Linked DNA regions of Lepisosteus oculatus. The protein of the gene in region 4 purifies or fractionates together with the protein of the main gene of each other region. This does not show direct contact. Links are inferred from orthologs where the notes say so. Each region holds a gene or a part of one and is shown on either strand. Other genes may lie near its edges.

Region 1 (7,703 bases), on a different chromosome or scaffold from region 4:
ATTACCCATTTTATTGTCAAGATACCTATCACAATGTTGCAGTCCTGTAGCAGCACACATATTTATCAACTTAAACATGTACTGTCTACAAAGACAACAGTTTAACTACATGCACTCCATTTCTATCCATATTATACATGTGTTTAATAGGTTATATTAGAATTATGCATATACCTAGAATCAACAGAATATTTATCACTTACAACTGCAAACAGTTTACAGTCAATATTCGGCAAAAGACAATTCCAGATATACTTTGAAGCAGACGCACTGACAGTTATTGATACAATTGACATAGGATGATTAATATTTGTCAGTGGGAGACTGCCACCAGTAGTAGTAGTAAAATACTGCCATTGCTGAATTTTGCATACAGCTCCTATCTAAAAGCTGGTTAAAATTATTGTTCCTGTTCCCGTCTCCAAGAATTGTGATGTCATCTGTTATTCCATTTGTCATGCGAGGAAAACACACAAGTAAGCATTTCATTGTACACGGGTAGATATGAAAATAAACTTGAGCTTGACTTCTACTGGAAACTTAACAGGCTAGCAGGTATATTGGTTCCTTTCCATATTTTTCTTTTAGGTTTGACAATCCTGAGGTTAAATTAACTCATCACATGAGCCCATTCAAATTAATCTTAATTTTGAATATATAATCTATACCTAAAATGTATTTTCCAAAACTATGCATGCATTAAAACAGTGAGAAGTTTCTTTTTTACTCTTATAAAAATAAACAAACATTCTATGTACTCTTTTCCTATTAGACCTGAAGAATACTATAAGTGAAATGAAAACCATTTGCATCCTCTGAATCTAGGTTATATTCATATCATACAAATACACATATTTAGAAAAAGACCGAGACACATACCAAACGGTTCCAAAAACTGATAAAGTTTCTCTCCTACTGCAATAGCTTCCGAGTACTGACGCATGTGGTATAGGACAATGGCTTGATTGTAGTAAAGAATGCTGTTTTCCACATCATCCAAACCGTCCATTTCTTCTACTGCAGCATGAACCTAGGTCAAACAAAGGTGCTTTAATTTAATTTAGGTGCAAAGGAAAGTCTGTTGAAGAGAGGTTTCCTTTCAGCAGGTTACCTGATTTTTCATTGTGGCAAGTGCCTGCTTTAAAGTGTCAGTAGTAGTTTGGCCACTTTTGTAAAATTCAGCAATGGCCTTGTTCATGGCAATTTTGTAGTCATCCTTGTTCCATTCTTGAAGGTGCTCAAGGTGTTTCACGCATTCATCATAACTTCCAGACTAAAAGAAAAAGCAAAAATTGACCGTCAAGCAGAAATCAAATAACAGCGCCGGATAAAAATAAAAAAACGTTGTAAACCTTTTAATTTTATCTACAGAAAAGGTGACACAACTCTCTGAACATGTTCACACCTAAAAGGCAGCCAATAATGAAGCCATCTCAGTATCAGTATAGCACAGAAAATAGTTTAAACATGGAGCAAGTGGAGGTTAACATATTAAACATGACTGCAAACTCATTTAAACAACACACTCAGGGGTGGCCGTGCCTACAGCTCAGTCACAATGCACTTAATATCTTCAGCATCAGTTTATGTTTTCAAATTATGGAAAATTTCACAATACAGCATGTAAAACTAAATCCATGTAACAATCTGTGAAATTATGCTGTTACATCTAAAACATATATCAAGAGAGCAAGAGCACTGAACGTTTATCAAAGTCACTGCAATATGTAAGATTTGTTTCTAATAGTTTTTCCTAAGCCCTTCTTTTACGAATTACACAGTTCTGTCAAATACCACACATTACCGAAAATGCTTGAAAAGCACTGGCGGCGAGTTCTTTTTCCCGATCTGTGATCCCAGAAGAAGCTGAATTGTTCTCGTGTTTTGCCTCATTGCCTTGCTCTATACAAAAAAAAAGACAAAAAGGGTTAATTATGATTAACTTAAAATATTATGCACCGCTAAATAAAAATAAGCTTTAATTTTATCCATGGTTCTGGAACCCCCCTCCCAGCAAATCTACACGGCCATCATGTTCTCAATGTTTTCAGCACTTCATCTGGGCTCTCTCTCACCAAACACCACAGCAGCAACACAGTACAAAGAACAAACTTCTGTTCATGACCTTCATACATTTTCTAACTGCTTTCTCCAAGACAGGTCGCCTAGGAGCCGGTACCTATCCCTTTGCTTAAGATTAAGTTTAGGAACCAGCACATCTGTTCGTTGTCGTTTAAGATATCCCTTAAATAGCTCTTCGCATAAGTGCAAACTTAATTCACATAATTATAGGATTAATCTAAACTCTTAAAAAAAAACTTTAGACGGCGCGGGACCACCGCAGAGCAGTCAGATACGAGAGAAAGACACAAACGTCACCGTCATCTCCACAGCTGTACGCGACATTTTAAAATCTGAGGAAATTGAAAGCATAGCTGTGCCAACGGAGATGCTTCCCGGGTATAAAAAGTTAACCAGTATAAAAAGCGGGTTAACTGTACACACAGAGTATATCCTGAATATCCTGAATAAAAGACCACAGACATTGATATACATAACATAAACTAACAGAAATATGCTTCACTTCATTACTGACTCCACATAAGTCACTATACATCTACCCATCTAGAGAATAGCTGTTCTTTTAAACATAAGTTATTTAAATATTTTATTATCGATAGAGCAAAAAGCTGCTTTTAATACAAAGTCGTAATATATATACCTGTTGTGTTATCTGCCATTTCCTCGGTTTATTTACCCAGTGTGCAGACAGCTGTCTATTACGGATTCTTATTACGTTCTGAGAATGTAACCGTCTCAAAGCTTCAGAGCGCTTATAAGTCTTCAAGTCAAAACGCGTTCCAATTTGCAAACTGTAAATGTCACTTTCCTTTAAATCACAAAATACATTTAGAAAATTTCTTCAAGAGGAATGAGATGCGATTTTACGGTCAGGGAATTTCAAATCACAAATCGCTCTCAGATGTCCGCCATGAAAATTACCCACAAGCGCCCCCGCACTCAGACGCAAGAGATTTACGTCATCAGGTTCGTCTGTCAGCGGAGCGCAACAGCGACGCCTGTCGCCGTGGAGGCCGCTGAAAAGTCTTTCTAATGGTTTAAAGCCAATTAAAAGGCCAATTAAGCATCGAATAACGAAAACACTGTGATCTTGACTCCCCCTCGGTTTGCACGTCTTTGAAGGGGATGTGAATGTATTATTGTGTTTGTTAAATGCATCCTGTAACAGCCAATGCAGCAGACAAAATAGCACTCCAAACTCTTATTTTTTCACAGTACATTTTTTCCTGTCATCAGATAACCCAACTGCCCGTGCAGTTTATTTTTCCCCAGTAGAAACCGTAAAATGTTAAACTGGTATGTGTGCACTCCAAAATGACATGCACAGATTATTCAATGGACTGTAGAGCCTAACATAGTGCTTAGACACTCTGCAGTAACTGAACACTTTTCTTCAGTCCACACTAGTCACACAATCAATTTGTATGTGGCTCAGCCACTCAAGCTAAATAGTGCTCTGATTAATCAACAGAGTCTCTTAATTAGTTCCACAAATGCAGACAATTACAGCTGTTTCAAAATGTAAATGTATGCTTTTCCTTTGTAACATCGTAAAATGAGCTGTTGAAATCGGCAACAAAATATGTTAATGATGTATTTAAAAAAAACAGAAAAATCAATGTCTTTGAAAATAACAATGCAAATACAAACCGTGGAGCCCTAAAACAGAGTAGTACCTCTTCTAGTAATGTGCATGCCTAACAGCACCTCCCAGTTAGCGGCCTCTTCATTTCAGTCATCTATACCAGACGTTGTATCAATACGAATGTCCCTGTATAATCAATCCCTGAATTCTACCAGCAATGACTTAAAAAAGGGCTCATGTTTTTCATCCAGAGTCTGAATAAATCGCAGCTGGGGGCTCTTCTCAGAAGTGCTACTGCAGTGTGCCAGCTCTTGATGAAAGCTTGACTTTCCTCCTAAACGTATGTGAACTAATGAGATGAAAAGTATCTATACAGAGTATAGATAAAGTAGTATACATACATACTGTATAAAGTAGTATACAAAAGCACATATTATACTGTATATTAATTTAAAGATCTCACTGGACATTGTTAAATCGCAACACAATGAAGCTTGGTGTTGTGTGATAAATCAAACCCTAGTCAGACTTGGTGTACCTTCTGGAGAAGATGAGGGCATTTTAGCATTTGCAGCAAAAACAAAGAATTGATCTGCTCCTCGTGAGTTGCAGTTCCTGAAGAGATAATTCAGTTATAAGAATGCATTACTTTATTTTATCCATTGGATGTCAGTATTTGACCATTGGCTCAATCAGCCCCTCTCATCTCCCCAAACTGGCAAAGTGGATTTTAAAAGGAATTCTTCAGACCAGGTCTTAGAACCCCCCGTGTCCACTGGCTTTTATCCAGCTCATCTCTTTATTATAAAATCAAATTTCAGAATTAAGAAATAATGTAATAATTAAACAGTTTTGAGTGTTTTCTGTAACTGCAAGGGATGTTAGAATTAACTCAAATATTTCAATTAATATTAACTAAAAATGTACAGAAATGTGGAAATTAGGGCAGCAAACTTAGGAGCAGTGAGCAGGTGAAAAGGTCTCAATTAGTTCAATTAAGTAACTGATGTCAATTCTATTGGCAAGGACCATGAAGGAAAAAGTAGGCCTCAATCAGTAATTCCCTCCCAGTTTACTGTAATAGTGAGTTTTTCTAAACTTGTCATTCAAATTGGGACAAAAGCATGAAAAATTAACTTGAAAAGCTATGGCCATAAAAAACAAAGCATTAAGTAGGGCCTTAATCTTTTGTTTTATGATTTAATGCAAAAACCTCTCTGTGGTACTGCAGAGCATCTTAAATTTTATGACAGCGTCACATATTATCTTTATTATACTTCACACATCTGATCGCCTCCTGTCTAATGGAGAAATGGCAGAGTCTGAACATCCCAGCTCTGTAAAATCTAAATCACTCCAAGCAGCAGTGCAGCTGCAGACATTGTGAAGCAGATCTGCACCACACAATCAATAACAGGGTGTCATTACACAGATGGGAAAGCTTTGACGCAAATTCTGAATTTCCTACGCAATACATTTCCAGTGCTTTCAGGAGGCAGAAGACAAGTTTCAGGGGGAAAATGTCAATCACTGAACAGTAGATAGTGGAAGATGAGAGGCAGCACAAGATGAAACAGGCCAGAATCAAGGATTGTTATGTAATTTTTGTTAACCAGAAGATGAGATGTGTATGTGTGGGAATAAAAAATGTAAACTGTACAATTTAAAGTATTTATTTCTGAACTAACTTTTAAAATACTTACATATTAGAAGAGATGTAATAGTATTTAATAGCTGGTGTTTCAGATTTTTTATGCTGTTTGATTTTGTTTTAGTCTTATGGGCTGTATTTTTCATTTTCCAGCTGCTTCATAGCTTTTGGTAGCATAGATAACATAGATATTCAGATGCCTGGCTTCCAGACTACACTCAAGTGTGATGTGGTCTAGGGATTTTAAATTGATGGGTATTAAAAATACAACAGATGCTTTTGCTTCCATTTTTAATGCTTCCCAGTATATATTAACTTGATAGACCATTTCCTTTTTGGCAAAATACAGTGACATCAGGAGGTGTGAAAAAGTGATATCCTTACATAATAGTTATTCTTAAAGGTAAGTTTGTTATTTCATGTTCAGGTATAGTTATGTTCTCAGGAGAATGCATTTTAAGTAACACAAAGTTACAGTTATTACGGATTTAAAAAATGTATTACTAGATAACGTTATTTGGGAAGATACAGAACAATTACTCAATTTCTCAAAATAAAAATCATAATATTTTATGTATTAATAGTATTTTGCAACATTGGTTATTTTTCAGGAGCAATGATGTGATGCATTCTGTAAAGTACAGTAGGAACCCTAAACACCAGATGATCTAATTGGGCTGAATGAACTCCCCTCGTTTGTAACCATTATAATGTTCAGAGCTACTAAATTCAAAGGTAAACCTGTACCATACCCGGATTTCTTAAATGTATTCAGTGTTGCTCTATTAGCAAAGCAAACCACTTGTCTTTAACAACGTCAGCACAAATACAAGAAAACATCATTCTGGCATGTTTGTGTTGTGTGGATGATAACAAGGGATTCAATTAACACATAAAATGCGATTCTGTTTCTTATTACTGATGGATTCCATCTCCAGACTTTTTAAAGGTTTACAGCTTTGTGTAAGTGTCGGATTTTCCGTGCAAGAAGTGGAAAAGCAGATTTTTCTTCTGTAAGTTGCGTTGCAAACAGCAGAACAAAATGCCAGAGAACTGAATTTAGCTGAGCAATTAACACATTTCATTTTTTCCCCATTTTCCTCTTAAGGGAGGGGTGCATACTGCATAGGTTGTTTATCCATTAACTTTGTGAGTAGAAATCGCCGTCACGGAGCGTTTTTCAGGACCCCGTGCAGACGGCGGAATCCGGAAGGGAGTGAAACAAACACGGGAAAGACGACTGGGATCGGGGCTGGGAGAAGAACAGGGGGGCGTGTCGGCGGTGCACTGGTGCTGGGGGGGGCGTGGCCAAGGCAAACGAGTCCAAATCCAGGGTGAGCAAAAGTCCAGAGCCGGGTAATCCATCCATCCATGACAGGAGTTAAAAGCCGGAGCGGGATCCGGCGAAGGGTCGGGGGAATAAAAAGGGGTAAAGGGGTAACGGGGCCAAGCGCTCCAAGCCCCGGACCCGTCAAGGGGCTTGCCTCTCCCAGAGCTGAACCTTGAATGGTGGGAGCGTCTGGCTTTTGTAGGGAGGGGCTGGAACAGGGGGCAGGTGCAAAAAAATCAAGAGAAACAAGAAAGAGCCGGAGCGTCCTTAATCGTGACAATCGTTCCATTTGTCAGTAAAAATCCAAAACCTATTTAATCATTGCTTGTAATTTTTGCACTGAATTATTTAATCCCTGCTTAAAATTTGTTGAAGACTGTGATTATCCTTATTACTTATATTTTATGGTTTGAGCTGCCATAGTTAAAAGCTACATCAATCAGCCAGGTTACTTTATATTAGCTGTTAAAGTATGACTTATTCTAATGTACTGTAGCTTTAATGGCATGTTCACAGAACTCTTGAAAATAGAGGCTGTGCCAGTTCGGTTTTCCTTTCGAAAAGTCTGTATAAAGATTCTAGTGACGAGCAGCAATTTGCTCACTCCATACAGTATGATAAATGTCACACTTTTGCAAGAATCTTTTTAAATGAAAAATTGGAACCACTGATTATTTTTTATTATTATTATTATTTTATTATTTGGAATCCCCAGTTGTTGTTTTCTGAGAGCTGTCTCTCGGGAGACACCGCGACTCACAGACACGTTCCCCTGACAGGCCCACCAGCAGACAGGAGGTGCAGCACTGACTGGAGGACAGGCACATCTGCCACTGACGCCACGGCCAGCCTGCAGCCCTCCCATGAGCTACCGTCCGCTGGGACGACTGCTCGGCCAATCCCCGTCCAGCCCTGCCAGCGCCGGTCACGCTCGGCTGGTGGCAAGAATGAGAGTGAGAGTGCCCCCCCGTGGCGAGAGTCAGGGGTTACTGTGTCGGCAACCCCACTGTGGAGGCTGAGAAGCTGCTTCACTGGCCAGGTTGGTGGGGAACTTC
Region 2 (6,922 bases), on a different chromosome or scaffold from region 4:
TTTTTGTATAAAATACATGAGGTGCTTTTCATGCGTTTTTCTACTGCTTGGTAAAATGCAACGACCGTTAAACATTACCTTACAATAAGTAACCGGGGCCTAACCCCCCAACAAACCATTCCAAGCCGAAAAGGTGTAAACATTTTTCCTCAACATTCCAGTAATGTGGCCAAAAATAATAACAACCGAACCCAATTTAAAAACAGCTGCCGTTACTGTGTTTAAGGGTACGAACTACGAGCACTAAAGGGTTTCGTTTTAGCAAGAGGTCAGCCCCTAACCCCGAAGTTTAACACGGCTAGTTAGGGAGGGTGTTGTCAAAAAAATAGTAACCTAACACGCACCAAGATGAACCTCTCCTAAAAAATACTCTGAAAGAAACTTTAGAACAGTTCCAACCTAAAACGCTTTCTCTTTTCAAGAAAATACCGGCTCCGTGTTTTCTAGCCTCAACCTCAATGACTAATTTCCCCAATTAAGAGCACCGCCACCCCAAAAAAGGGAAACAAGAGATTGACTCTGTTAGAAATAAATGAAGTGGAAAACTCAGCTAACCCCCTCCAGACTACTTACTTGGTAGTGCAAAGTTTAAACTTCAGTTGCTTTTTTTGTGCCTAGCTTTTCAGCTACCTCGAATATGTACCACACTTGCTCCTACAAGTAGCTACTCGGCGTTAAAGTACTCCTATTTCCCTTGCACATACTGTACTCGTGGATGTATATTAACAGGAAAATGAGGACTGCTTTCTTTCCAACCAGTTAGGGAGACATCTAAAGGAACTTTTAAACCGTGAATAGCTCACACATTAAAAAGCCGTTTCGTAAAAAGGCCAACTTAGTTCTATCTGCAAACTGAACTTCAAGCACTGAGCTACAACCAATAACGCTAAAATACATCTGCTTCTAAAATCAGTCGCCAATGTTTCAAAACATAACGATTTTTTTAATGTTCCAAGCTGTTTAAACAGCTCTAAAATGTGAAAGAATATTCCGAACCGTCAGTAATATGATCTTGTATTATGATAGCTAACCAAGGGGTTTATTTCTCACAAAAGGACCGACCTAAGCTGATTTACAAAATTCGAAACTTCGTCTTTAAAAAAGGCGACATTGGTGAAGTCAAAGATGTAAATAGCGAAAATAACACTATAAAGGACCCCACCTCTTCTTAAAGCCTTTGTTTCTCTAAGATTTTAGCAGACGGATGGTGAAATGAGACAGTTCACTCAGCCCGTTCGTTTTGCACAAAATATATCGCACTACAAGTGCCGCTCGGGTATTCAACCCAAGATCGTTTCAAATGTACAAAACGACAAAATATCTAAATATATTAATTCTGTGCGAGAAAATGATAACTTTGGTGTCGGTTTAAAAACCTTGATGATAACACTGGAAGTTTGACAAACCTACGTTCCGCTCTAACACGTTTCACTGAAAAAAAAAACAAATACAAAAATGTATATTATCCCCCTCCCCACCCCGGTACGGTATCATATTTACCTCACTTATTTTCCTAAGGTCATTTCTTTATTTTTGCTCTCCCCGAGTCGTTACAAAAATAATAACATAACGTTTGCCCCCTCTCGAGTTCGGTTTGGTTTTCAATACAAAATGGCGACCAACATCTCGCGCGCGCTCACAGCGCCATCTTCTTGAAATCGAGCTCGCGACACTGCAACATCATCCCCCCTCCCCCCTCCCCACACACACCAACTCCGGAAACAAAAAAAACTACACAAATGAAGACAAATAATTAAAACTGCGCCGAAATACAGCACGTTAAAAATCAATATTCATGCAAACAACTCGCCAGATTATAGGTTTCCCATAAACATTTTTTATTCTCTCCCCAAAAATGTTTTTTAAGACCAGACCACCCCCCCCTCCCCACTCCTTAATTCGCTCCGGCTAGAAAGAGGCTGCGGCGCCTCAGCCGGTCCCCCCCCCCCCCAAGACACGGGATAATGGTACGGTCGACATCAGGTCATCTAGCAACATCACGGCGGATTTTAATTTTCGGCACTTTTATTCGGGTGTGAGCGGAACGCGGCACGCGCCGCCGGTGTGGGTTTTTGAAAATCGCGAGCGTCTCTCCGCGGCACCAGGCCTCGCGGGGAGGTCACGTGCCGAGGGTGGAAAAAAAGTGAATCCTGTTCGTTTATGGTCGTTTTCTCTCGAGTTAGTGAGTGATCCGAGCCATTGAACCAAAGAGCAAAGGCATCACGATGTGACGTTTTATCGCGGTCTGTGCCTCACCCCTTGCCTGAGAACTGCTAGCGTGTGTGCCCGGGCTGACAAGGGCGATGGTGACCATTCCCATGCATTCCTATCAAGTTAAAAGGTTCATTTACGAAGACAAAAAAGCATTTAACGTTTTTTTTAACGCGTTCTGATCGAGTGTTAGACACGACTGGGACTCACAGCTGCATTACCTTTCCCCAGTCCGTTAGCCTCGTTACACTCAGGGGTCCTCTATCTGCTGGTGGGTTTGGGACAGTGGATCCCGAAGAGTCGTCGCTCAGGTCATTGATCTTATCTTCTCCACGAACCTGTTATCTGATAACCCACGCGGGGCTTAATGGAAGGGTGCGAAGTGCACTTAATAATTAAATCAGAGATTCCCTGTTCCCTAATCAAAGTGATGCCTATGATTGTGGAAGAGAGATGGGGCAGGGTTCCCTATTGGTGTATGAGCTCGCAAAGCACAAAGAGGCTTTCACTGATTGAAAAACTGCAATTTGCGCCTTGTGTGGCACAAAACGTGTGCCTTGTAAGGAAGTCTAGAAACCAAACTTAATACAAGTTTATCTGTTTCTATACCGAAGTTGTCAAACGGAACAATGACGTGTAATCCAATAAAAAATCGGACGGTGTTCCAACCTCTTTCCCTGGCTTTGATGTTTTTTAGCAACACAAACGCTCAGAAGTTTGACAAACCCACGAAACGTCTTTGCTGCAGCAAAATGTACGAGTGTGTGTTGAAGATCAAACCATACCCCGTTTTTTTGTGAAATTACTTGGTCACTTTCGCTTCCGGTATAAGGAGCCGTAATATGTCGCGTAGTTTTTGCGTCATCCGAGTCACGTGATTCAATACTCGTGACAGATCTGGGGGGGGGGTTGTCATGTGACCCTTCAGCTCCAGGACTACAGCCGGTAGTTTCTGCCAACCAATTTGATTAGTATTGAACTGCATCCAAAGAAAGACTTGATTCTCATTCCCCCCAAACCACTCCAGCTCTCTCTCTCTGTGTGTGAGTGCAATATAGACATGCTCTTCCGCAGCTTGGTCGTTTTAACAGCCTTGTGCTGCTCCGCTCAGTCCGTCTATGATCCAGATGAAGTGACCGATCTCCCCGGACAGTCCTTCACCCCAAACTTCAGGCAGTGGTCAGGGTACCTGAAAGCCAGCCCCGGGCAGTACCTGCACTACTGGTAAGACAGCCGCGGCACAGCAGAAGATGCAATATTTCGTTTTTCAACGTACGGTGAACACTACTCTAACTTCCTCGTCAGTTCACTTGTTGGTGAGAAAAGTTCTCTTGAACCGGACGAGAGCGGAAAAGGTAACGATGCTCAGTTTCGGAAAGGATTTATAACACGAATCTCTCCAACAAGGGCTCCTTTCTGGTTATATCCCCTTGTCCTCTGAGAAATCCCCAATTTCCAAATACCTGGACCGATTTGTGATTTTAATTGCAGGTGATTTGTTAAAACAGGTAATTTAGAAATCGTTTGAAATAAAATGATCCCTTTAGGACTTAAATTTAGCTCATTACGTGCTTAGGCGAGCAGTGACTTATAGGTGTTCACTATCTTCAGAAACGAGTGCAGTTGATCTCTAACAAATCAAGTTAGAGAAATATCATTTACGATTGTTCATAGATTTTATCCTGTTAAATTGACACTTTCTAGATTTGAACACGAGCGAGATGACTTATGTGCATTTTGTAATAATGAGAAGGAATCTTTGTTACATTTGTTAATATGCATATGCACAAAATTGTTTTGGATAGATTTGCAAAATGTTATTGCTAAACATTTAAAGGTAAATGTTAAATTGAGAGATTTTGATATTATTTTGTATTTTGTTTGACCTGATTTGGATGAAGGATATGTTATTTGTATTTCTGATGCTTAAATAAAAACAACGTGAGTGAACGTGGTGTGTGCACATGTACTGGGGCTGTCTGGGACAACAGGTGAAGACCCCTTTGTTTCTCGCTATATTTTTAGCTTTGCAAATTGAAAATGTACCCCAATATGTGAATATTTTTATTGCTGAGTGGTAGTAGTATAGTTCTGAAAATAACACTCAGATAAAAAATGAAGAGGGAGGTGTTGATTATAGCTGTTTTCTCCCTGTTTTGGCCTTGCAGGTTTGTGACATCCCAGGGAGACCCAGCTAAAGACCCTCTTGTCCTGTGGTTGAATGGTGGTCCAGGCTGCAGTTCCCTGGACGGGTTTCTCTCAGAGAATGGGCCTTTCCACGTGAGCAATTTTTTTTTTACCTCAGTGTTGAGCTCTCCCTCTGAGACTTGCTCAAAACTGCCCGCAAAACTCATGGTCGTCTTCTGCACTTGATCATTATCGCAGGGGACGCTTTTTTTTCCTTAGAGTTCTGTGGTCGTTCCAGATTTCATTTAGCTTGGAGACAAATTCACCTTCCAGGTTTTTGTTCCAGGCCTTCATAGATCCAACCCGAAAACGAAAAGAAGTCACAAAAGCAAGGAGACAATGAGAAGTGTAGAAATTGGCCGAACAGCCAATATTGCTAGCAACAGTTGTCTGGTGTAAATTCATACCTGTGCAGCACATGGTCTAAAAATCAGTTCCTCTTCTACATTACCATTTGAGCTTCATTTACCCATCCTTTCTGGCAGGTGAATGATGACGGAGCCACGCTGTACCTAAACGATTACAGCTGGAATAAAGCTGCCAATGTCTTGTATCTGGAGTCTCCAGCTGGTGTGGGCTACTCCTATTCAGACGATAAGGACTACAGAACCAACGACGATGAGGTCAGTGCAGCCCGAGTTTAAGTAAATAAAAAGAACCTGATGCCAAAACGCAACAGTACCCTCTCGGTGTCCATGATGTAAAAGTCAAAATGCTGATTATTGTGGCTCTTGGACAGGGGTTAGCTCCTGGGTCCTAGGTTCGATGCAGGACAGGGGAATTCTGGGGACTTCTGGACATGTTCTCTCTGTGCTCGTGTGGATTTTCGCTGGGCGCTCCAGTTTCCTCTCACCTTTCAAAAACTTGCTGGCTGGGGTAGCTGGTTATTGTGTCTGAGTACACATTTATATATATACTGTATTCCTGCTGTGCACCCTGTGCTTCCAGGATGGAGTCTGTTGCTCACAGCTGCCTGCTTCGTGTCTTCTGACAGGTGGCTGACAACAACTTCAAAGCCCTGCAGAGTTTCTTTACTAAATTTCCCAATTTCACCAAGAACGATTTCTACGTATTTGGCGAGAGCTACGGAGGGATATACGCACCCACCCTGAGCCTCAGGATTGCCAACAGCTCTGCCAAGATCAATTTGAAGGTATTGCCAAACGATGTGACCTCTGGGGGAGGGTGCTCTCCTAACAAGTTTCTAGCTAGTTCCTTATTTCCTATTCCTGCTCTTTTCCTCATTCTAGGGATTTGCAGTTGGCAATGGAATCAGCAGCTTTGACCTCAACTACCAGTCTCTTATCTACTTTGCGTACTACCATGGACTGTTTGGAGAAAAGTAAGCATCAGTTTTCTCATCATTGAGCTCAGGAAGTGAGGTCATCGCAGCTGTGCATTGTGGGTGGAGCCTTTCAATTTCACATGCCACTGCAATCAACAAAGAGATCCTCTTCGTCACTGGTACTAGCCACTGCATAACAAATAAAAAATCTCACACAACCAGAATGCAGGCATAGCAAAGGAGAGGACATCAACATCTAGATTAATGTTCTGTGTAAAGTGTGTATGTTTGCTTTCTTTCTGTAGACTGTGGGCTGACTTGAACAGGAACTGCTGCAAAGATGGGACATGTAACTTCTACAACAGCAGTGACACGGGCTGCATTCAGGCGGTATTGTCTCCCAGTTTCTTCCATAGTCCGTGAATAATAATACAGCATTGGAAGCATGAAGCACACCTGAAGAGAAAAGTGTAATTTTCCAACATCTGCCCCATTTAAAACAAAGGTCTGGATTCTTGATGCGCAGAAAACGCATTCTTAATGAGCTGGTGTTATTTTAGCTTTAAGGTTTCTGCTGAAAGGAAAGGCCGCATCACAACTCTTGGGGTCTTAGGTTCATTTCTGGTTTGGGGTACCTTCAGTGTGGAGCATAAATGGTGACCCCCCCCCGGTGTGTGAATGCCCTGCAATGGACTGGTGTCCTGACCGCAGGGTATCCCACCTTGCCCCCATGGTCTGCCAGCTTAGGTTCCAGCTCAGCGTGACCACTGTATGTTGCGGACCAAGAGGTTGGAAGCGGATGGATGAAAGTTGAACAGCTTCTTCTGTCTTCTTGGCAGGTGGGCCGTGCATTTAATATTATCTATGATTCTGGGCTGAACGATTATGCTCTGTATCTGGACTGCGCTGGCGGTGTGGGGACAGCTGCACGTTATCACAGGGACATGCAGAACCTCTTTCGGAACTACAGGCCGCACTGGGATACCAGTTTGGTAAGGAACTAACTTTCACATATTTGGGGGAACAGCGCGTCTATATGACCTCTGTTTAGCTTCCGAGTTCTTCAAGCAGAAAGGTTATATGAGAAGAAGAACATTACAGCTACCTATGAGTACAGTTAAAGCATGTTATAGGTCTGCTGTGTCAAAAAGTCCTCAAGTGTAGGTTTTTATACATTAGGAGAGAAAAGATCAAATATAATAGTTGCACCAGGTTCCTAGTCCTGGTCCAGGAGACCCA
Region 3 (7,645 bases), on a different chromosome or scaffold from region 4:
CGTTTCACTTCAGCAAATATTAAGATCACCAGCCAACCACAAATATAAAAACAAAAGTTCCAGTCAGATACAAAAACGTTTCACTGAACCAACCAGCACAGAGCTGTGAGGCAGTGTCAGGACAGCTCTGGCAATCCTCACCACTGCAGAGTAACCGGGGGCCAGAGGGCATATTCCCTCATGAGGGTCAGTGTGCTGGACAGCCGTGTCCAGGTGCCTGCAGGTCAGAGTGTGTGGACAAGGGCTGTGATCGAAGAGTAGGACAGGGACAGGTTCAGAGAAACAGCACCACGTCAGAGGACAGGACTGAGTCAAACCTGCACAGGCTAGAAGCAAGCTACTATCCTGCATGAGGTTACAATTACTGCTACCCTTAATGGCAACTCAAGCATTTCTTGTACAGCTTAAATCTTTCTATACTAATGACTAGAGACTACGCACCATTATTCTCACCCTGCTGCATCTGGGCTCATCACTGCCCTGAGACTACTGTTGGTACAACCACAGGCAGTGCTGGTTGGACAGAAAGTGACCTGTCAGAGTGATCCAACAGCAACTGGTTACTGAGCTCAGCCCCAGCAATGACTCACCCAGAAAGGCAAGTGACTCAGCACCTGATTCTCCAGCCCCACAACAGGCACCACACTGGGCCAGGAGATCACTGCCCAGCTCTCCAGCCCCACAACAGGCACCACACTGGGCCAGGAGATCACTGCCCAGCTCTCCAGCCCCACAACAGGCACCACACTGGGCCAGGAGATCACTGCCCAGCTCTCCAGCCCCTCAACAGGCACCACACTGGGCCAGGAGATCACTGCCCAGCTCTCCAGCCCCTCAACAGGCACCACACTGGGCCAGGAGATCACTGCCCAGCTCTCCAGCCCCACATCAGGCACCACACTGGGCCAGGAGATCACTGCCCAGCTCTCCAGCCCCACAACAGGCACCACACTGGGCCAGGAGATCACTGCCCAGCTCTCCAGCCCCTCAACAGGCACCACACTGGGCCAGGAGATCACTGCCCTGCTCTCCAGCCACTCAACAGGCACCACACTGGGCCAGGAGATCACTGCCCAGCTCTCCAGCCCCCCAAGATCTCCAGCAGGCCACCAGACGAATCGCTTCAGCCACAGCCTGAGTCCGTGTGACTGCAGAGAGTCAAGAGTCTCCTCTCCGACAGCAGCTTACCCCTGTGACAGCTCTCCACTGCTGGCCTCACGCCCACAGCAACCCAGGAGAGAGGTTCCCTGCACGTTCATGTAACAAACCGACAACCGAAACTGGAGCCAAGGCACAGCTGACAGAACCACCCAGACTCAGAGAGAGGTTCCAGGGACTGCGATCGCCGTCCCCAATGGGACAGCAAGCTGCTCAAGAGCATCTCAGGATGAGGCCCAGACCTATAGTCCAGCAGGAGTCACCCCAGCTACAGGCTCCCACACCACGGCAGGCAACAGCCACATCCACTCATGGCAGGAGCCACAGACTCTGGGCCACAGACAGGACACCCCAATCCCACTCTGCCCTGAGCCCTGAGCCCTGAGCCACAGACAGGACACCCCACTCCCACTCCTGACAGCCCAGCGCTGCCCTGAGCCACAGACAGGACACCCCACTCCCACTCTGGCCCTGAGCCCTGAGCCACAGACAAGACACCCCACTCCCACTCCCGACAGCCCAGCGCTGCCCTGAGCCACAGACAGGACACCCCACTCCCATTCCCACTCCCACTCCCACTCCTGACAGCCCAGCGCTGCCCTGAGCCACAGACAGGACACCCCACTCCCACTCACACTCCCGACAGCCCAGCGCTGCCCTGAGCCACAGACAGGACACCCCACTCCCATTCCCACTCCCACTCCTGACAGCCCAGCGCTGCCCTGAGCCACAGACAGAACACCCCACTCCCATTCCCACTCCTGACAGCCCAGCGCTGCCCTGAGCCACAGACAGGACACCCCACTCCCATTCCCACTCCTGACAGCCCAGCGCTGCCCTGAGCCACAGACAGTACACCCCACTCCCACTCCCACTCCTGACAGCCCAGCGCTGCCCTGAGCCACAGACAGGACACCCCACTCCCACTCCCACTCCCACTCCTGACAGCCCAGCGCTGCCCTGAGCCACAGACAGGACACTCCACTTCCACTCCTGACAGAACCAGCGCTGCCCTGAGCCAGAGACAGTACACCCCACTCCCGGCTCAGCCCGGTTCTGATCCAAACTCCCCCCCCCCCGACGGGAGCCCGAGAAACAGAGAACAGGACCGCACCGCCCCGCCGCTCAGGCACACCTTGAGGGGACACCTGTCCGTGACAGTGGGCGGGCAGGTCAGCACGGCTCCGCTGCAGCCACGCCACACTCCCACGGCGCCCTACCTACACTCGGTGGCACAGTTACCTGTAGTTCCGATTTCCATTCATGAGGTCTCTGTCCGGTTCCTCGCCGGCTCCTAAATGTCAGGTCCAGGGTCTGAGCTCCAACAGCTCGGTTCCGCTCGGTCCTGTCCGGCCCGGCCCGATCCGCGCTGGTGAGGCCGAGTCCTCCGCGGAGACTCTCCGCCCGGAACACGGGCCCGCTCCCCCGCGGCTCGGTCCGCTGATGGCGGCTTCTTCGCGGCCGGGGACCCCTGCGCCGGCCGCTGTGGACGGGCTCTGCGCCGCTGCTCGCCCGGGGCCCTGCCCTCGGGTCCCGCTGGGTCTCCGCGGCTCCGCCGGGCAGGAGGAGGTCTCCTCGGGGTATTTACCTCTCTCACGTCCCCGACGGGCGGCTCGATTGTCTCCCCGATATTCCGTCGGCGTCTGAGCCGAAAGGCGCAGTTTCTCCCGGCTCCGCGTCCGCACTACCCCCGCCGACAGAGCCCGGCTGCCCCGCCGGTGTTTCCCTGCCCCTGCGGCCGCAGTAGCCCTGCTCCTCACCCGGCAGACCGAGGCGTCGCTCCCCGACGTGCTGCTGGTCCGCTGCCCGGTCTCAGTGATCCTCGCTCGGGGAAATCCTGACAGGAAATACCGTCTCTCTCACTAACTGCAGGAAACACCGTCACTTCCGAGCAAACCATATTATTCATGAGCCGAGGTCTGCATTATTCATGAGAGGTATTAATAATGCACACCCGTGTTCCCCGGCTCCCCACACGGTGTTCCTGCCGGAGCCTGCAGGGGGAGCTCGCCTGCCGTCCGCTGAGCTCAGGGCCGCTGTTAACCCCTCCTGCCCCCGGACACCGGTCTGAAGGGTCGCTCCTGCCCCCGGACACCGGTCTGAAGGGTCGGTCCTGCCCCTGGACACTGGTCTGAGGGGTCGCTCCTGCCCCTGGATGCTGGTCTGAAGGGTCGCTCCTGCCCCCGGACACTGGTCTGAGGGGCCGCTCCTGCCCCTGGACACTGGTCTGATGGGCCGCTCCTGCCCCTGGAGTGTGTCTGAGGGGTCGCTCCTGCCCCTGGATGCTGGTCTGAGGGGTCGCTCCTGCCCCTGGACACTGGTCTGAAGGGTCGCTCCTGCCCCTGGACGCTGGTCTGAGGGGCCGCTCCTGCCCCTGGACACTGGTCTGAGGGGCTGCTCGTGCCCCTGGACGCTGGTCTGAGGGGCTGCTCCTGCCCCTGGACGCTGGTCTGAGAGGTCGCTCCTGCCCCTGGATGCTGGTCTGAGGGGCTGCTCCTGCCCCTGGACACTGGTCTGAGGGGCCGCTCCTGCCCCTGGAGTGTGTCTGCCCACCGGCCAGCTCTGGTGCTGTTTTTACTGCACTGTCTCTCCTGGCTGAGACCCCCTGTTTTCATGACTGTACTGTCCTGGATCGACTGCAAGGACACAGGGACTTGTTTTTTTTACCACAATCAATTCATTTATGTTGTCAGCGCCACAGGAAAAAGTCAAATAACCGATAGAGCTCCGCTAGAATCTGTTTCGCTGTGTCTTTATTAACGTCTCTAGGACCTTCTGTAGTTGTGCCAGTTGAGATCAACAGGCTTTGAATTCTAAATTGTGCATGTTTTAGTTCATCATCATCCCTAAATATGCTTTTAATAGCATAGGTATTTTGAATTGATTTCCTGCCTTTTGAAAATTTGTTCTGTTAATAATTTATTCCAATTAGAAGTATTACTTTATCCTTCTTACCAGAGTCGCAGGGGAGCCAGTCTATCCCAGCAAGCACTGGGCACAGGGCAGGACACACCCTGGATGGGACACCAGTCCACCCATGGCAGTAACACACACTTACCAGGGCCAGCCCATCACAGGACACTCACAGACACACACACACCAGGGCCAGCCCATCACAGGACACACACACACACACACACACACACACACACCAGGGACAGTTTTCCATGTCTCCCACAGGAATGTAGGAGGAAACCCTCATGTACCCAGTGAGAACATGCAAACTCCACACAGACAGCACCCTGGGTCTGCCCTGCGCAGTTTATTTGATTTACTCTTTCCTTTTCCAAGCAGGCCTGATGGATGTGTCCACACTGCCCCTTCAATAGGTGGTGCAATAACATAAGACCCTTTTTCTACACTCAACTATAGAGAGTGTCCAGAGGGGACAACCACGCTGGCATCAAGCTTCAGGTCAAAACAATGTTAAAACAATTTTATACTAGTCCATATAATTAAGCAGGTATATAAAAAGGTGTTTCAGAATGCACTTGGTCATTTGCTACTTGTCTAGTCAAGAGTCATGGTAATGGACACCCAGTGCTCAGACGCAAACCAGTGTGGAGGAGTCCGCCTGGCCCACAGGAGACACGCCTGCCACCACTGTGCTTCATAGTCCACTATTCTGAAGCAGTTCGGCCAGTTAATACAGCGATTACCAACAAGTTATTTTTATCAGCTTTGTTTAGGTTAGAACTGTGTAAAATAATGAAAACTATAGCCAAAACTACATTGTATTAATCTGGAAATGAAGCAGCCGTCACAATCAGAAGCCCCAGGAATTTTGGAGCTTTCACCCTCTCCCCTCTCTAGGGCAGCGTCTGCACCAGTGAGGGATGCCCCTAATGCCCCTCAACCACAGAGCTACCTGGCAGAAACCCCGTGTGGGTGGACAGTGACAGTGCCCATCTGCTACTGTGTGCGCCAGTTAATAATAAACATGAAAAACAATACCTTGCACTCGTATAGAGCTTTTCAGCACGAGGCCCTCCACAGCCTTGGCCTTGGGTTCAAACACAGATGAACTCACGGCCCAGAAAAGGCCTGATATCACTCCCTTTAAACTAAGTGATCACAGTCTTTCAGGATGCATAAAAAATAAAAGCTGAAGTGTCTAAAAATAATGCTAAAGAAAAATTATACAAACACAAGCATAATAAAAACACACATTTTATTCAAAAAATAACCAGAACATTTCACACTATTTAATACTGACCCATGAGAACTAGTTTCCATATTCCCTATCGGTTCTGTTCGGAAGTGCTATATCTGGACTACAGTCCGCAGTGGCATATTGCTGATTCAGCCTGGACTCTGCGCTCGCACACATCCTGGCACCGGTCTGCGACACGGCTCTCGTCTCTCCCCTTCGGCCACTCCCCCATCCCGCACTGACCCCGAGCAGCTGGGGCCCGAGCTGAGGGAGCAGCGAAAGAGATGTCCAAGCTGTGGGCGAAGGAGTGCACAGTGCATCTCTGCATCTCTGCATAGCTGGGTAAGAGGTCAGGGGCTCCCCCGGAGGAGACCAGGTGATACTGCAGGCAGGGCGTCTGTCGCTATTCACCGATGTTCAAACTGAGCAAATTATGCCGTCAGACTAAGAACCACATCTGTGCATTCTGAGAAGTTTTGACAATATTTTAAATCTAAACATAGGCAGGCAGGGTCCTATATTTCATTATTTACATAGTAATTGATGCTACTGAACAAAAAAAAGCACCTGGGGCTTCAGTGAGACACAGGGACCAGTAACAGGGATGGAATTTGTCAAAACCGCTTGGAAAACACGAGTCCTTGTCTGAGGGTCTATACTGGGCCCAGAACACTGTAATTATGAGTCAAGCTGCCCTGGGTCAACATCGTGCACTGCAGCACACCTCCAGCTGCTGGACAACAGACGATGCTCCCTCTCTCTCTAGGGGGCAGCTGCAGCCAAGAGCAACAGCCTGGCTCTCTCTGCCCCCTGCGGGGCGCAATAGAGCTGCCGCGGAGAGGAGAGACTGTCGCTGTGCCAGGGGTCTGGCAGGGCACGCAGAGAGCCCTCGACAGGCGAGACCAGCGTGCGAGGAAGAACAGAGGAGTGTGCGCCGTCAGCGTTGTTGTAACCCGTGTGCCCTGTGGACATGCATAGAAGTGTTGCTCAGCTGTCTTCAGAAGCCAAGCTGCTGCTCGAGAGGACGCTGCCGCGTGGCCTGCGTCTGTGTACAGTCCCACAGCCACCGTGCTCCCGGCTGGTGAATCGCTGCACAAAGCTGAGTGACGACAGAGAAGGAGACTGTGAACGTGGACAGATGAAATGATGGACTTGCTGAAGATGCAGGCCCTGCGAGGTCTTGAACCCACAGCTCAGTTCACATTGGGCTTTCCTCCACAGCTCCACAGAGCTAGCGAGCACACATAGCTCATCCAGGTCTCTGCTGACCTCTCCCTCCTGTGCAGACCGGTTTGTTTGCTCCGGAGCAGCAGGGACAGGCAAATCAGAGGGAGAGTCAGGAGTCCCAGCACCCCAGGTGGGCCCTGGCACCAGTGTGTCCATACGGGCAGCTGCTTCTCCTCGTCCCAGCACTGTGGTAAGGCACTCTCCAATCGACAGCACGCTGACCTACGGCCCTCCCTCCTCTCCCTGCGAACACACAGCCTAGCAGGCCTAAGACAAGCAAGTGCTATTGTACCTTACCTTGGGTAAAAATAAACATTTTAAAACAATAACAAAAGGATAAAAACATAAGGAAAGTTTTTTTCAGTAAAAAAAACTTCCTCAACACGTTGCAGATCTAACTCTACGGGCTGTCTGTGGGAGGCGAGTCCACAGACAGAGGCAGCATGTGTGGGCAGTCAAGGACCTCAGCTCCTTTCCTCAGTATTGCATACATACTCGGAAGTGTAAATATATATACTTCTATATATAATATATATAAAAAAAATAAAATCCCGGAGTCTTAGAAACAGTTTCCTGGTGAGTGCGGAGCCACGTCCAGCTGCTCGCAGCAGTCTGTGCTTCAGGAGGACGGCCCTGGGTTCGGGCCGCTCTGGCTCAGTGAGGTCCGTGAGGTGTGCTGGGAGGGCGCGGCTCAGGCGAAGTACATGGTCCGTAGGGTGTCCTGGTGAACCTGCACGGCTTTGGCCAGGGCCTGGGGGTCCCGACCGTTACTCTGGCCGGAGATGTGGCTTCCCTCCCCACTGCAAGAGAAAGGCAGACCCTGGATCACTGGAGGGCAGAGCACCGCCGAGACAACGGCCTCCAGCTCACTGGAGAGCAGAGCACCATGGCGAGAACGACACCATCACAACGTGCCGGGCTGCTCCCCCCTCACCTGTCGTGCTCCTTGTCCACCAGGTGGTAGCGGGCGCGGAACGCCACCAGCCGCGCGTAGTAGGCGGGCGCAGGGATGGAGACGGAGCGCGTGCAGCGCACATAGGTGTGGCACAGCTGGTAGGTGAGAATCTGCAGTTCATCCGCCGTGAAGCGATTATCGTCCCAGAGGAC
Region 4 (7,588 bases):
AAAGTTGCAAATAATGGAAAAATGTTCCATTTCTTTATTTGTGGCAAGATAACGGCAGCCAGATCTTGAGCTTCTGCAGCGTCCAATCAAAACAAGGCCAGCGAGCACTCAAGGGCACGGAGGTCTCCTGGTTTTTATTATCCAGTATTACTCAACAGGGCTCAGCTGAATAACATGAAGGCTACAGCAGCACACAGCTACAGTAGACCTGTAAGTGCCAGATGACCCACGAGGGGTCTTAACAAAACGGGTCTTAAGACGCCATCAGCTCACTTGGCAGCGATACTTCAACGTGAGCCGGGGGAACATACGTTGTTTGTTTGTTTGTTTGTTTGTTTGTTTTTTGGAGGTCAGCCGTCCCCCAGCCGCTGGAGTGGAAAAAAAAGAAGAAAGTTTGCCCCCAAAACTATTTAAAAACACAGTAAGTCCGGGCTGACGGCACAACGCAGGAGCCCAGACGCGACCCGCTCGCCGGGGGGGGGGGAGGAGGCAGAAGGCAAGAAGAGCAGAGGAGCAGGGCAGGAAATGCAGAGGGGCGAACGTGAGCGGGGGGGGGGGGGCAGACGGCTGCTCAGGAAGAGCCCTTTCCATCTCCAGCCACCAGGCACGGGTCCGTGCTCCTGCGCGCCTCGGCCAGAAGAGAGACGCAGAGGGAGGGGGGGAGAAGGAGAAACCGGAGGGAGGCGAGCGGAGCCCGACGCTCCGGGCTGAAGGCCAAGAATGTCGGCGCTGCAAGACAGAGGTGCGCGTTCCCACAGGGCCCTCCGGCCAGCACCAGCCGCAGGGCCGGGAGGAGACCTGCGGCCGGACACGGCGGCCACGGCCTCTCTCTCTCTCCTGCCTGCCTGCCTGCCTGCCGCGACTCTCGCTTGAGGAAGTCGCAGCTTTCCAAGCTTTCCCGAATGGGACTTAATCCGGCAATCCCGCAACCCGACGCTTGAACCCGGAACATCCGAGGAAAGACCAAACGGATCAAGAAAGCTTAAAAAAAAAACAGATGTCGCTGCAAAACAGAAGGGGGGGGTTGGGGGAAGATGTAGAAATCCTGCATTACGGTCTCTAATTTGATGGTTCAGAAATACTTAACCCCCTTCTCCGTGTGATGTGGTTCGTTCTGGCAGATGTAAAACTGTACCCCCTCTGCTCTAACTATGATTTTACCACCTCATGACAAACTAATTTTTTCAAATACTTCACTTTGAAAGTCTCAATAGCTCTAAAAACAGAACTCATGACTCATTTCTAAATCACCCAGCTAAGATTTTCATTTCCTCCAAGTGTAGCCCATGTATTCGTTAGCCTGCAAAAACAAAACACTTTCGCATATAGGTAGCAGATGTCTTTAACTTGGGTACAGTCATATCTGCACTACAGGATTTCTGTAGACACAACAGTTAAGATTATGCCAAGAATAAATAAGAAATGAGCAAACAATAAGGACTTCTGGAAGGGAAATGGAATGTTAATGTACTAGCATGTCTATAAAATCAATTTCCGTTGTGAAGAAAGTGTGAGGGTTTGACTATGTGGCCTCAAAATCATCCATCTGGTCACAAGTTTTCTTTCTTTGGAAAATGAGGTACAACTATCACGTAATGCCAGCTGCTTAGTAAGAACTGTATAAAACAAGTCAGTGCAAGAAAGGGAAATTACTCAATGAAAGGACAGATTTAAATGAAATTATATATAACCACAGAAACTGCCTTTACCATGGGGGGAAAAGCACCACACTTAAAACGCGACTGACCAAGAATCAGGTTTCTGAGTGGCAAAGGTTTACCTCCTGGACCAAAACGCAGTGTTCATCCTGTACAACCCAGTCCAACAACATCCAAAGAGACGCTTAACTACTGCACTGCAGCCCCGACACACATCCCTCTAACCCAGAGACACCCCAGCCTAGAGTTTTCCTGCTCGCTCTAAAGGTAGGGCCCACAATATGCAAGCTTTTTGTTTTTGTTTTTTTTTATTTGGTTTCCGGTTTTCAATTACTTTCTCACACTTGGCAAGTCCAGAGTAGTTTCGTATCCCGGCTCAAGGCTACAAGCCCCGGGACCGCGGGTGAGGAAGAGCAGACGGAGCCGGCCGCAGCCTCTCCCGTGTTCAGGAGGCTCGGCATCGCAGACATGCACTCCCGACTGGCGTGTCGGGACAGCAGGCACGCGGGTATCCAGGGAAGTCGCCGCGTCGCTGGGGGCCCACGACAGCCCAGCGAACTCACCCCAAGCCGGTCATCAGCACCGCTCGGTGCACACAGGTGAGGATGCCTAGATCACAAGAGCTCAACCTGCACAGGCTCCTTTGCCAGTACAGCCAACCACAAACCTCAGTGATCTCCACAGTTGAGGAATTAGACAAAAGGATTAAGGACAAGAAAGTCTGAAGGGGGGGGGGGGCTGGGGCTACCACACCTCAATGAGTCCTCAAAAACCATGACTTCCTCTAGCCTCATTGCCCTCCAACGCTTGAGAATCCAAAGATCTGCAAACAGAGGTCCTTGCAAAAGACACATCCCAGTCCCGGGACTGAGCCCAGGAGCAACACTGGGGTTAATACCACAAGGCACCCACTAGTCACACAAAAACAAGCTCGCCCCCACCCTAGAAGCACCCATACAGTAAACCGCTTCAAATCTCCAGCAATTAACAGAAGCAATAGGGCTTCTCAAGGGACTGCAAGGGGAAAAGCCAAGTAGAGCTGGAATGCCCACGAAGGCAGAAGACCCATTTTGTAGTTAAGTCACCCCCTTACCAACGGACAGAGGCATGTGTCCCACCGCTCCGTTTAGGTACCTGAAAGGAAATCATTGTGATCCGTGATAAAGTCACATTCCAGGGCAGACTGGATAGATTTCGGGGTGTTTACAACAGCTTTTGCATTCCTAAAACAAGCGCATCTTGCCACCAATAAACTCTTTGAAAATGTATGACCATTTCATACCACTACAAATGAGGCAGATTTTTAGAAAAGTGTTTCAATTTTCAAATAAAGGCTTCACCTTTCAGCGACAGCCTTCATCCGATCTAATACAATATGTACACATCTGACTTCATTATTTATCTAATAGTTATTTTCTACAGGATTACCTCTGGATAGCTTTGTGCATCTTTAAATGTCATAAAGAAATCTCATGTTGTTGTACCAATGTGAACAGAAACACACACCTGCCAATCTACTTACCAAATCCAGAAGCTTTGACTTGCTTTTTAAAAGTTAAAAATGCCATAGAAAAAAACGTAAAGCTTTCGATTTATAAATCTCAGCACAGGAAATTCATTAACTTCATCTGCTAACCCGCTTGACAACAGTGAACAGTATCAAAACTATAGTTTCATCTTCTTCCATTCTAGACTAAAAGAATTGCTTACATATTCACCAAATATTCCAGCACAGTCCCTGCATGAAACACAGATCATTATTTCACTTAAATGGATTTGTTCACTAATAAGAAATGCATGCATGAATTACACAAACAAATGCAGAAATAAAAGTATTCTGAGATAACAATACCAAAGAAAAATATTAAATATGATAAAACAGGCTCTAATTACAATGATTGAAACAGAAGCTGTCTATAAGCCATATGTAAAGCAGGCTTTAAACACGGGGAGGTGTCAATCAAAATAGCTGACAGTACTGATGCCTGTCAAGAGATAAAGCAGAGCAAATAAGAAAAGAGAGGTTTCTCTTTTAAAGCCAGAACAAAGCCTTTGAAAAAATGCTGAGTGACTGGAACGGTTTAGTGTCGGGTAAAGCACTGGAAAAGCATTCATCTCTCCGTGTGCGTGCCTAGATTTGAAAAATGCAGGAGAAAAAAAAACTCTCCGACGATGTTCAAAACCATGTGCAACCAGTGCTATTTATAATGCACACGACTGAAGGAAGCCCACCCCTGCTGCTATTTAAACCGATTATTATTTTTCGCACCACACTGAGCTAGACACAGACTGCAGGATGGGCACACACAAGTGCAGCAGGAAAGTGAAAGTGTCTCTTGAACCCTCCAGTCAGAACTGGGAGGGCAGGTTAGAACAATGTCACAGGAACACAGTCATATGAAAAACTTCGTAGAGAGAAAGAATCAGTGCAGCTTCCCAGGGTTCAACAAACGCATAAACCACAGTTTTGCCTGCCTCGGTGTCCGTGTGTGTGTAGAGGGGTGGAGAATGACTGCTGAAAAAAAGGACACCGAGACACATTTTGTAAACCATCACGTATAACGTTAAAGGGAAAAAAAAGACTTTTTTTCTTACTTAAATGTGAAAATTTGCAAAATTTGCAAAATTCAAACTGGAGTGAGATACGTTCTTTAAACACGCCCCTGCAGCCAGCTCCTGCTTAAAGATAGCCTTTCACTAAGCGTCCAGCCTGCGACATGCTGGACAAACTGAAAAGACAGACCGCTGACATATTCGGACAAAGCCAGGATCCAGCAGATGGAGGTCTGCACATTGTAGGAAGGAAATTTAAACCCTAATGGCTTCACACCATTCTGATGCAAAGAAATCCAATCGTGGTCCAAAAGGGTCAGTGTGTCAGCAGAATTGCTGGGTGTCTGTAAAGCAGCAGCACCTGAAGAGCTGGGAGGAGCTGTAAAATCGGTCCAGTTCAGCCAGAAACCAGCTGGTTTAGCTCATTAAGAGGCGAGTCGGAATGTGAAGCTGCAGGCACACCGACTCTCCAGGACTGGACACCCCTGATCTAGACCAACCAGAAACAAATACATGGAATCAAGTGAAAAAAATGTTTCTGCAGTTAACTAGCTTGGAATAGTACCAACAAATCAGGTAACAATAACAATAAAAAGAACAACAGACTGGCTGAACATCCCATTATGGAGAAGAAACTCTTATGGTTCACCTTTCCAAGATATCGAACGCTGTGCTTCTTTTCTAAAGAAAGCAATCACTGCACATTTAAACCAAGAACAGAGCATGGTTTCCGTATTTCACTTTAAGAAATCCGTTTCGTTTCCAGGGAAGCGAGATCAAATTTGGCACAGTCTGGAGTTCAACATTACATCACTAGAAAGTGAGGAAGTTACGGAAGGTAAGTCATCTGGCAGCTTCTTTTGAGGTTTTACTTGGGAGTGTCCCCATTATCTCACCATTCCAAATAAGCCCATGTAAAGTAAGAATAATGTAAGGGAGGGCCCCCACCCCCACCCCCACCCGAACACTAAGTTTCCCAAACCCTCCCCAACAACCAGGAGTGTTATCTGTGTGTCTGCGTCTCACATGGCAGCGCCAAGCCCAATGAACCTACTGAGAAACCGTCTCCCCCTACTGCTACTGTTTTCTAGACCTGCCGCTTCCAGGTCACTTATAATAATAATAATAATAATAATAATAATAATAATAATAATAATAATAATTGCTTACACTTATATAGCACTTTTCTGGACACTCCACTCAAAGCACTTTACAGGTCATGGGGATCCCCTCCACCACCCCCAGTGTGCAGCCCCACCTGGATGATGCAACGGCAGCCATAGTGTGCCAGAACGCTCACCACACATCAGCTATTAGTGGGGAGGAGAGCAGAGTGATGAACCCAATAGATGGGGATTATTAGGAGGCCATGATTGGTAAGGGCCAATGGGAAATTTGGCCAGGATGCCGGTACTCTTTTCAAGAAACACCCTGGGATTTTTAATGACTACAGAGAGTCAGGACCTCGGTTTTACGTCTCATCCGAAGGACGGCGCCTGTTTACAGTATAGTGTCCCTGTCACTCTACTGGGGCATTAGGACCCACACGGACCGCAGGGTGAGCGCCCCCTGCTGGCCCCACTAACACCTCTTCCAGCAGCAACCTTAGTTTTTCCCAGGAGGTCTCCCATCCAGGTACTGACCAGGCTCACACCTGCTGAGCTCCAGTGGGCTGCCAGTGGTGAGTTGCAGGGTGATTTGGCTGCTGGCTTATCATCTGATTCACACTCCTGGAGCAACTCGCTCACTGGGTACATCCCGAAACAGTCAACTCCTCCATCGGACCCAGGTGAGAGATTTAATGATCAAGCCAGATCTCACTCTCACCAGCTGTCCAAATAGGTGCCCTGTGTTGTCCAGGCCCATAATAACGCAGGCGCCATTTTCCTCAGCCAGGGTACTGTACAATCCCCACCGTGGGATTTTTTTTGTCTATTTTCAGAAGCACCGATAAAACTCATAAAGTTAAGCTGTTCTCAAAGTACGAACTTGATGCCCTGTTCTTCCCCTTAATAACCTGTGATCCTTTCAACACGGAAATGTGTTCAAGTGCTTTATCTTCCAGAGACAAAACACACAAAGACAGACGAACACCCTGTAACTACGAACAACCCGGCCTGCTTCAGCCTTTCCTTTACCCCTCCACATGCCTTTCTGCGTCCTTGGATGTTTTGTCTGCCTGGTTACACATGGGTCAGAGTGTCTCCAACACCTGGATTCCACTCACCCTTGGCTCTCCGCAAATCAAATTAGTCTGCATGGCTAAATGTGTCCACTGTGTGAAAAGACAAAGGGCGTACAGCTGTCACCTGATATTTGTGTGCAGGGACGCCTAGGGAGCCTGAAACCATGAGGCAAATACAACCTGTTCTTAAAACAGCTTTTCAGAAAAACGGCACTGGGATATAGGAGGCAAGAGATGAATACATTGTTAAGCACAATGCCGGGCTCTGGGAATAAAACCGCAAACCATTTGATGGAATCAACTTTACCGTATCACAAAAGTTGATGTTCATCGACATCAGTATTAATGGGTTAGGAATTTACTTAATTCAAACAGTACTCCTTTTTATTTGATTTAGACTCTATCATCCATCACAGTCAGGGTTACGTGCTCAGTTTTCAGAAAGGGAGTGGATTCAAACGCCATGTCTGCTTCCGTTTTCATAGATATAAATATCCTAATAACCATGCCATATAGTATAATTAAGCATTTCACAACAAGAAATATCCAAAGATTGCACCTTACAAGCACATGGCAAGAGATTTTTGTATTGATCTGGTCCCATCTCATAATGATTTCTAAAACAGCCAAATAAGGTGACAGGTCTTTTTAAAAACCATCCCTCCTGCCACATATCCAAAGACTATAGCAGGCATGAGTGTGATCGTCCAAACTCTCTCCTCTCTCGCTTCTCAGCCACAGTTAAGATGGCTGAGGAACCACAACAGGTGAAAGCTCTACCGATATGGACAGTTGTGTCAACACAACGCCAAAAAACGGAAAACACAAAGGGAAATTTGTTATGGCCGATTGTGCCCCAATACCAAAAAACTCCAATCGTATCGCCTAATGGAACAGATTACCAAGGCAAGCTGTGGAGGCAGAGAAACCAGCATCTTTCTGAATGAAGTCTGATGCTGTGGTAGCACCACTCAAACTGGGACAGAAGGAAAGACCTGTTCTTCCAAACAAATATTACAGACGTCATTCTTAAACCATACAATACTGAACATGGGAAGACCAGAAACAAAAATTACAGATTGCTGGGACTGGTCTGATTCCTACCATCAAAGTGAAAGACTAGAGATTGTTTAAACATCCTTGACACAGCACTGGCATTGCATTTTCTTAGTATGATTGCATTTGACTGGTA

Evidence for each region.
Region 1: the proteins of tnrc6c1 (region 4) and cnot10 purify together in Homo sapiens (co-immunoprecipitation; 3 studies listed by BioGRID and IntAct, with this or other methods). This does not show direct contact. The link is inferred for Lepisosteus oculatus from reciprocal best matches to the Homo sapiens genes TNRC6C and CNOT10.
Region 2: the proteins of tnrc6c1 (region 4) and cnot1 purify together in Homo sapiens (co-immunoprecipitation; 4 studies listed by BioGRID and IntAct, with this or other methods). This does not show direct contact. The link is inferred for Lepisosteus oculatus from reciprocal best matches to the Homo sapiens genes TNRC6C and CNOT1.
Region 3: the proteins of tnrc6c1 (region 4) and protein argonaute-3 purify together in Homo sapiens (affinity purification with mass spectrometry; 3 studies listed by BioGRID and IntAct, with this or other methods). This does not show direct contact. The link is inferred for Lepisosteus oculatus from reciprocal best matches to the Homo sapiens genes TNRC6C and AGO3.

Annotation. Positions count from the first base shown.
Region 1 is NC_090705.1:42,669,297-42,676,999, reverse strand, and holds the start of cnot10 (CCR4-NOT transcription complex subunit 10), read right to left. Parts: upstream 3,010-7,703; 5' UTR 2,742-3,009; coding exon 2,723-2,741; intron 1,903-2,722; coding exon 1,805-1,902; intron 1,274-1,804; coding exon 1,112-1,273; intron 1,031-1,111; coding exon 880-1,030; intron 1-879. UniProt on the Homo sapiens protein: Component of the CCR4-NOT complex which is one of the major cellular mRNA deadenylases and is linked to various cellular processes including bulk mRNA degradation, miRNA-mediated repression, translational repression during translational initiation and general transcription regulation.
Region 2 is NC_090715.1:4,432,247-4,439,168, reverse strand, and holds the start of cnot1 (CCR4-NOT transcription complex subunit 1), read right to left. Parts: upstream 3,005-6,922; 5' UTR 2,422-3,004; intron 1,688-2,421; exon of another isoform or gene 1,501-1,687; intron 1-1,500. Other genes in the region: lysosomal protective protein, read left to right, coding at 3,272-3,435, 4,380-4,491, 4,884-5,021, 5,393-5,551, 5,649-5,740, 5,989-6,073, 6,523-6,675.
Region 3 is NC_090706.1:126,495-134,139, forward strand, and holds the start of protein argonaute-3, read right to left. Parts: upstream 3,021-7,645; 5' UTR 2,420-3,020; coding exon 2,401-2,419; intron 1-2,400. Other genes in the region: ago1 (protein argonaute-1), read right to left, coding at 7,230-7,338, 7,473-7,645.
Region 4 is NC_090704.1:44,664,914-44,672,501, reverse strand, and holds the start of tnrc6c1 (trinucleotide repeat-containing gene 6C protein), read right to left. Parts: upstream 3,019-7,588; 5' UTR 2,808-3,018; coding exon 2,752-2,807; intron 1-2,751. UniProt on the Homo sapiens protein: Plays a role in RNA-mediated gene silencing by micro-RNAs (miRNAs). Required for miRNA-dependent translational repression of complementary mRNAs by argonaute family proteins.